Canis lupus familiaris: one gene and its partner. The protein of the gene in region 1 interacts with the protein of each later gene in a pairwise test. Links are inferred from orthologs where the notes say so. Each region holds a gene or a part of one and is shown on either strand. Other genes may lie near its edges.

Evidence for each region.
Region 2: the proteins of CLEC7A (region 1) and BNIP3L interact in binary tests that used the Homo sapiens proteins (3 or more experiments, as listed by UniProt). The two-hybrid records come from large-scale screens. The link is inferred for Canis lupus familiaris from reciprocal best matches to the Homo sapiens genes CLEC7A and BNIP3L.

The regions. Positions count from the first base shown.
Region 1 is NC_049248.1:10,285,437-10,289,633, forward strand, and holds the start of CLEC7A (C-type lectin domain family 7 member A), read right to left. Parts: upstream 2,828-4,197; 5' UTR 2,736-2,827; intron 1-2,735.
Region 2 is NC_049246.1:31,318,503-31,322,153, reverse strand, and holds part of BNIP3L (BCL2/adenovirus E1B 19 kDa protein-interacting protein 3-like), read left to right. Parts: intron 1-384; exon of another isoform or gene 385-531; intron 532-1,279; coding exon 1,280-1,463; intron 1,464-3,651.

The sequences.
Region 1 (4,197 bases):
GAATATTTTTTGTTGATAGTTGGATATAAAATAGAGGTGCCTGAGTGGCTCAGTCGTTAGATGACTTAGTTTCCACTCAGATCATGATCTCATGGTCATGTAATAAAGCCCAGTGTGAGGCTCCACCTTTGCATGGAGTCTGCTTGGGATTCTCTGCCTCTACCCCTCCTCCAGTTTGTGTGCATGCTCTTTCTCTTTCTCAAATAAATTAAATTAAATCTAATCTTCTTTTAAAAAGTTGTATATAAAATAATGTCAAAAGAAATTAAAATGTGTGTATAAATATGTATAGTAAAGTAAAAATAAATATTGTACAAACCACTCTTAAATCAATGGATAAAATCTTATCAATTATGTTAATGCCTTTTTTGAAAGGGAGGGGAATTTATACCTATATATAGGTATGTCACAGTAATAAATAATATTACAATTTCTGTTTGAGCTCCTTAACCTTTTCCAAATTTGTTAATGATATTGTCAAAATTAATCTTTTTTACAAGTTTGTGTTAAGTATTGACTATGTATCCAGACACACCAATTCATCTTTGCTCAAAATTGATTTAAGATAATTTTTTCTTCACTTAATTTTTAAAATTCTTTAACCGAAGCCACAGATATGTAAAGAGAAAAAGACTTATACATAGTATATATGTGGCAAAGATTTACAAAAATCCTATTTCACAGTGATTCCAGAAATTACAATATTGTCCATGTCCTTATTTTCTCAGGATCAATTTTAGTAATTTTCAGATTTCTCTGCAGTTGAAATATTGTATAAGGACAAATAAAAATTGCAAACTGTCACATAGAATGAAGAGAAAGTAGCTCAAATTTTGTCTTTTTGATTTGATAATCACTGTGCAATGCTATCGATATTGATTTCAAATCTACACTTTAAACACAGAAATTACTCATTCTATAATGCAAGCAATGCAAACCAAGTGGTACTGAGTGAATTTCAGTAATTCCAAACCATTCCAAATTGTTCCACAACAACTAGGAGTTCTGTGAATGAACTTCCATGTAGAATACAGTACTTACAAAAGGAAAAAAGACATAAACCTGATAATTTGAAGAACATATAGATATATTGATATACACAGAGATAACTCCATCCTCATTATTCATGGATTCCAGGATTGCAAATTTGCTTAAGTGCTAAAATTTAATCATAATCCCAAATCAATCAGGGCTCTTTCATGATCATTCACAGGCATGCGCAGAACGGTGAAAAGTTGGAGACCCACTGTCAGAAAGGAAGATCTTCTTCCTGCCTAAGGTTCTTCTAGCTGGACTTAGAATCAAACTGACAGGAGATGAACTAACAGGAGGAAATCAAATGTAATAGGTGTACAGAGGGGACAGGAGATTCTAAAGGAGACAACAAGAAGCTGATGTGGGATGGTGAGGGAGACAGGTCCTAGGACACCAAGGGAAGGAAGGGCTTTAGCAGGAAGGGGAAAGGAGATGTTTGGGAAAACAAGGTTGCCTTATTAAGTAGATAAATTCCTTTAGTAAAGGGAGCGTTGGTCTCTATTAATACTCCCCTGCCTGTGGCAGGCTCTCCTTTCCAATGTAAATTTAAACAGCTGTGGGAGAGGCAGAGTTTTTCCTGAGTCTGCTGGGCTTTGATGACTTTTAATTGGGAATAATCTCTATGCCAGAGTGGTCAATCCGAGAGTAACTTACTCTGGCCCCTACAACCTAACATGCCTGATTTCAGAGGAGTTTGAACAAAGTGACACTGCCCTCTTGTTCCAGCTCTCCTAACTGAAGAAGAAATGTCCTTTTCACTGTCTTTGTAGTGCTTTTTGTTTGTGTGTGTGTGTGCTTTGACTTTTTGTTGGTTACTTCACTGCCTAAAATGCCCTCAAACATAGTGCTGAAGTACAGTCTGGTGTTCCTAAGCTCAAGAAGACTGATGTGCCTTACAAAGAAAATATGTGTATTAGGTAAGCTTTATTCAGGCATGAGTTATAGTGCTGTTGGCTGAGATCAATGTTAATGAATCAACATATATTTGCTAATGGGCATTGAAACAGAAACGTATATAAAACAAGGTTATGTAATAATCTGTTGACAGAAATTGTTGTCATCAGACATTACAGAAACCTAACCCTGTAGTTCCCACAGAAGCAATAATTATTTGGTGTTCTCTGACACTTCACAGACTGTAACTACCATGAATAACAAGAATTTATTGTATAGAGAAATGGATAAACAGAGTTCTAAAACTAAATAATAACCATAAAAATTTAAAACTAAACAAAAAAAATCACAAAAGATATTTTCCGGGAATATTTTATCATTGGCATTGTTAAGGATTATGGGTGATAATAAAAAGTAGACTGACTCTTAATAAATTTTGTTATATTTTTAATTTTCTGCAGATAGTTCACTACTCCCCACATCACCTGCTTGGCTATATTTTCCGGCCCTGTGAGGATCTAAATAATCAGATGCCAGACTATCTTTCTAGTTTTATTTCCTAACCATCTCCCTGTCTCTGTTCAGGTCCTTAAACACTGGCCTTCTCTTTTATCACGCAAATACACCAATTTGCTTCTGTCTACACTTTGACTACATGCTTTTCTTTCAGAACTCTGAATGAGAGACTTTTCTGGATAATCAGTTCTCTGTTCAAACATCATTCTCTCTGGGCAGTCTTTCCGGGTTGATTCTAGTCCAGCTACTTCTACCCAGGCAGAAGTAGTGTTGTGCCCAAGATTACGTACCTGAAAAACCACCAAGGAACCGACACCGATGCAAACACACGAGGGTTTATTTACAAGTTCGAGCTTGGGTCCAAGTATACCCGACACAGCAGAGCAGGGACTTGGACCCCGAGATAGGTTCCAGCTTAGTTTTATGGGCTGGTCTAGGGGACCTCCAGAAGGGGTGGAGGAATTTCTCAAGTTCTGTTTACATGCTGATATGGGGCTTTCAAGGGCATTGAGCCCTGTTCTCATTCTAATATGGGGCTTAACTGAAGTTAGGTAAAGTTCAGCTCCTATTCACAGGGGCCTGGGATGGCTGTACTTGTGCTAACACTGAACTTAAGGTGGAATGGCCTTAATTTTCTCGGCCTCCACAGTAGAATACAACTAGGGTGCTTTAAATTATTCTGAATTACATCATAATAGGTTTTTTTGTTTTTTTGTTTTTTTGTTTTTTTTATTTTTTGTTTTTATCTTCAAAGTGATAAAGTTTTGGAATATAGGTGAGGTCCAGAGCCAACGACCAAGAAGAATTCTTGAGACATCTTTGGTGCAAGATGATTTTATTAAAGCACAAGGATTGGACCCATGGACAGGAAGAGCTGCTGCCCCGGGCCTGTGAGGGGTGGCTCATTATATACCTGGGAGTTGGGAGGGGTTTGAGGATAGCATACTCTCTAAGGGATTTTGGAAGCCAGGTTTGCAGGACCTTGAGGGGGCTAGCTATTGATGGGAAAAGGGCACTTACTACTGTCTAATAAAACTTGAGTCATGAGACCCTTCAGATGTATATCAGTGGGCCTTGTGCTTGGGGGATGATTGCCAGCACATATCTTGGGGAGGGGGAAGAGGGGGTTTCAGAGATAAAGGAAATTTCTAAAGGAATTTTTATATGTTAAAAAGTAGACTCACAGGGGCCTAGGGGTCAGGCTAAGATTGCCTTCTGCCCTTAGCAAAGTATGAACATCAAGGCAGTTGAGTCTGTAGAAGAATGTCCCTCTGCTTGTTTCAATGACTTGTCAATATGCTTTGTCCTCAGCTAGTCCTCTGTTCCCTCATCAAAAGCACTTCACACTATTTGAATATCACTCATCTTTATAATTAGACTCCTCCTGTTCACGTTTGTAAGCTCCATGAGTTCAGAATTTTGTTTGTCTTGTTCATTGAAATAGTTCAAAAACTTACACTAGCTTCTTCTTTTTTTCCTTTCACTAGGTTCTGATTCATTGCATGTTACCAATAAATATATTTAGGTCAATGTATAAATTACTTAAAAACTTTTAAAAGTAATAATATATGTGTAAAATGTATATATGCACCTTCACATGTAGCCTAAAATTATCCAAATCTATTGTCCAGCTTGTTTATAAATTCCAAAAATACAAGAATTCTGTCTTTATAGGCATTCTTTGTCCAATGTCTAGTATGGTGTTTCCAGAGTTATGTCTAATTAAGGGGAAAAAAGAAAACAAGCAATTAT
Region 2 (3,651 bases), on another chromosome or scaffold:
TCCTTTATATGAGGATGATGTTGAGTTCACTTTGGATCTAGAATAGTCTTTACCTCATTGAGAGTGCATTTAGGTTTTGAGCCTCTCTGGGTGGTTTTTCTGATTTACTGGTGGAGGGCTGTTCAGTCACAAAACTCTACACTTCTCTTGAGAGTTTGGAGGAATGGCCCTCCCAAACTGCTCGGTGATATTTTCTAAAACAAAATTTGTTGTAAGGAATGGAAATTATGAAGAAAATCCTCCACTGTCTTTGTTGTGAAGTTGGTCTGGTGGCTACTGTTATCAATTTTTATTAAAATTAAAGCACCTTAATGTGATCAGCAAACTCATTGAGCCAATAAGAAATATTTTCAAGAGCTATCCAAATTACCAGGGCCACATCCCCTTTTCTGTGGCTCCACCCTCTTTGACCGTTGGCCTGAGAAAACCTGTCTCCTGTACAGATGTGAGTTTCTCCCCCCAAACCAACAAGGCTTAATGAAACCTAGGAAATAGGAAGTCGTGGGAGAGAAGAAAGGACAAATCTACAAGGTATGGCTAGTGCATAAGGGAGAGGATAGAAATGAGGTGAGGTATAAAGGAATGGAAGAAGCTAATTTGTGGGATAGAGAGAAAGCTTTTTTCAAAATTTTTGGTGTTATCCCTGGATTTAATTAACAGCATTTAAAAAAATAAATAAAATTAAGAGCATTAATTTTGTGCTGCACATTTGTACACAAATTGAAAATTTTATGATTGAATTTAAGTTCTATAGGAGATTGTCAATTGTGCTAATTAGGACAATTGTTAACTTCTTTAGATATTTTTTTATAAAGTTTCTAAGCCATTGGTTTATTTCATCTGGGGAGGATACAACTAACTAGCTGAAGTAAACTGTGAGAAAAATAGGTATATATTATTTTAAACATATGTTTAAAATATTAAAGATAAGTAATAATAAAGTAACCATTTATTTTTTGAAAAGCACTCTCAAAGTTTTCAGTGATATAAACTAAGCTTTAACTAGAGAGAAAATTGGCTGAAAGGCACATTTCTAAGATCCTCGTTGTAGAGTTCCAGCTTCTTCTAAATTGGTTGATTGCGTGAGCCACTTCAGGAAGAGAAACTATATGTATTTTTAGACTTCTGTTGCTCCTTATTTATTTTCTTCGGAATACTCTTGGATTTGCTTTGAGGCGAGACAGAACTCTTATCAGAATTCACCACATTCGCATCTGTGTGCACATGACAGAGTTTGGTTCTGCTGTGGTTAACTTAAGCTATCTGACTTGTCCAACAGGTTCCTGGGTGGAGCTACCCATGAACAGCAGCAATGGCAATGATAATGGCAATGGGAAAAATGGGGGGCTAGAACATGTACCTTCCTCATCCTCTATCCACAATGGAGACATGGAGAAGATTCTTTTGGATGCACAGCATGAATCAGGACAGAGTAGTTCAAGAGCCAGTTCTCACTGTGACAGGTAAGTGAGATCCATACAGATGGGTTATAAGGTTAATTCTCACCAAAAAAAATAAATCTGGTTTCATTCTCATTTGACAAAATAGGACTCCTGGGACTCCCGGGTGGCTCAGTGGTTGAGTGTCTGCCTTCCGCCCAGGGCGTGATCCTGGAGACCCAGGATCGAGTCCCACGTCGGGCTCCCTGCATGGAGCCTACTTCTCCCTCTGCCTGTGTCTCTGCCTCTCTCTCTCTGTGTCTCTTATGAATAAATAAATAAAATCTTTTTTTAAAAAAAGGACTCTTGATTTACTGCAGCATGTATATTTAAATCAGATAGCTAATTGGCAAATATTTGAGTGCCTGGTGTTTTTCCCTAGATTAAATCAATTTCCTTATTCAGATTGTATCATTTTTTGATGTTTATCAGTTTAAAAGTCAATGGCATAAATGTTTACTTGTAGAATTAACAAACTTTCTCCAATTTTCCTTTGTGACCCTGTTTCACAGATGACATTCTGTCAGTTATCTCTTATGTTTCTGTCCCCCCTTCCAGACGATGAGGCTCCAAAAGGCATGTTGCATCTCTTGTGTACCCTTGACAGTCATGGTACTGGTGTGTAGCAGACCCTCAGTAACATGTTTGAGTCGTAGGAACTGGTGGTTGATTCAAGTTACAGCAGTATTTGTATGGTGTATGCAGACCACACAAGGTCTGTAAAGATAGCTAATTTGGAAGACCATCCTGTTTCTTCAGCGGAACCTTATTTTCAGACCTCATTTTTCTACTTTTGACTTGGGGAAAGTAATTCCATTGATGAAGGGCTGCTTTTGGTGAAAGAGTAAGGATACAGTGATATGTATGAGTGGAATAAAACCGAATTGCTCATTTGTTTTTCAGTGTAAGCTTTGTTTTTTTCTTGAGGGATAGGTGTTAAATACATGGTGGTATACCTGACACCACTTAGTCTGATGACAGCCATACTGTTAGCACTATGGGATAAAGGATGATCTGGTTAATTAAGAGTTAACTGACATTAGTCATGTAGAAAATGCAGATGCATAAGGAAAAAGACTAAGGAAACACTTAAAAATGTATACTAAAAATAAAAGTGATTATCCCTAAGAGATGGAATTATGGATATTTTTCTTCTGAATATTTTTGTACTTTGTAAAAATTGCATATATAGCATATTTTATTTGTCAGAATAAATTTAAAAAGAGAAACAGAAGTTCGGTCATGTCTGAAGTTCCTGGATATCTTATAATCCAGTGATGTTACCAAGGAAGCAGAGGATTGGTTTGCTGGCTCTAGCACACTGTGCACCCCCGCCACCCCATCTCATCCCTGCCTTTGTCCCTGTGCTTCTTAGTAGCCTGGGATGGCTCTTGTTCTAAGCAGAAGCAGAGCAGATGGCTCTTTGCTGAACAGCTTGCCATTGATTCCAGTTGCAACAGCATTCGTCTGTCTTTCAGAATGAAGTTTATATTATATTACATTTATATTTTGGGACTTGTAATAGGTTTCTGAAGTTTTCTGCTTGTTCTAGGCCTCTTTATGAGGCTCTTACTATGCATTCAAGTACAAGACCCTTGAGCATTGGTATCAGTGTGTCTCTTAACCTGTTGTTCACTTGCTGTTGTCATTGAGCAGAGAAAAAGTCACCTGCTTGCTTTTCTGGTCGTCTCATTTCATTCCTGGTTAGTAGTTATACTTGTGATCAAATACGAATTTACCTTCCCGTGACCACATTTAAGTTAGGTTTCTAAACACCTGAAGCGAGGCGTGGCATGTGCTTTTGAACATTTTCCTGTCCCTCACTTTATGTATGTTTAGGATCTGGGTTCCTGGTCATTTTTCAGAGAGGGCCTGTGACTCCAACTCAGTAATACTCTCCTATGCTAACACATCTTAACATTTTAAAATGTCTTCAAAATTCATATCATTTGGATGGGCTTGCATCTCCATATCTGAAGTCGCTGAGAAATGTTTTTTGTAGGTGGAAACATTTTTAGGATTGTTGGATATTCATCCCAAGGCTAGTTTATATATACAGTGACCCTTGAATGACATGGGTCTGACCTGCACAGCCATGTGGATTGTTTTCCATAAAGCACAGTATTTTATGGTAAATGTCGTTTCTTTCCCTTAAGGGTTTTTTTTTTACATTTTTTTCCTTTAGCCTACTTTATTGTAGGAATGCATACAA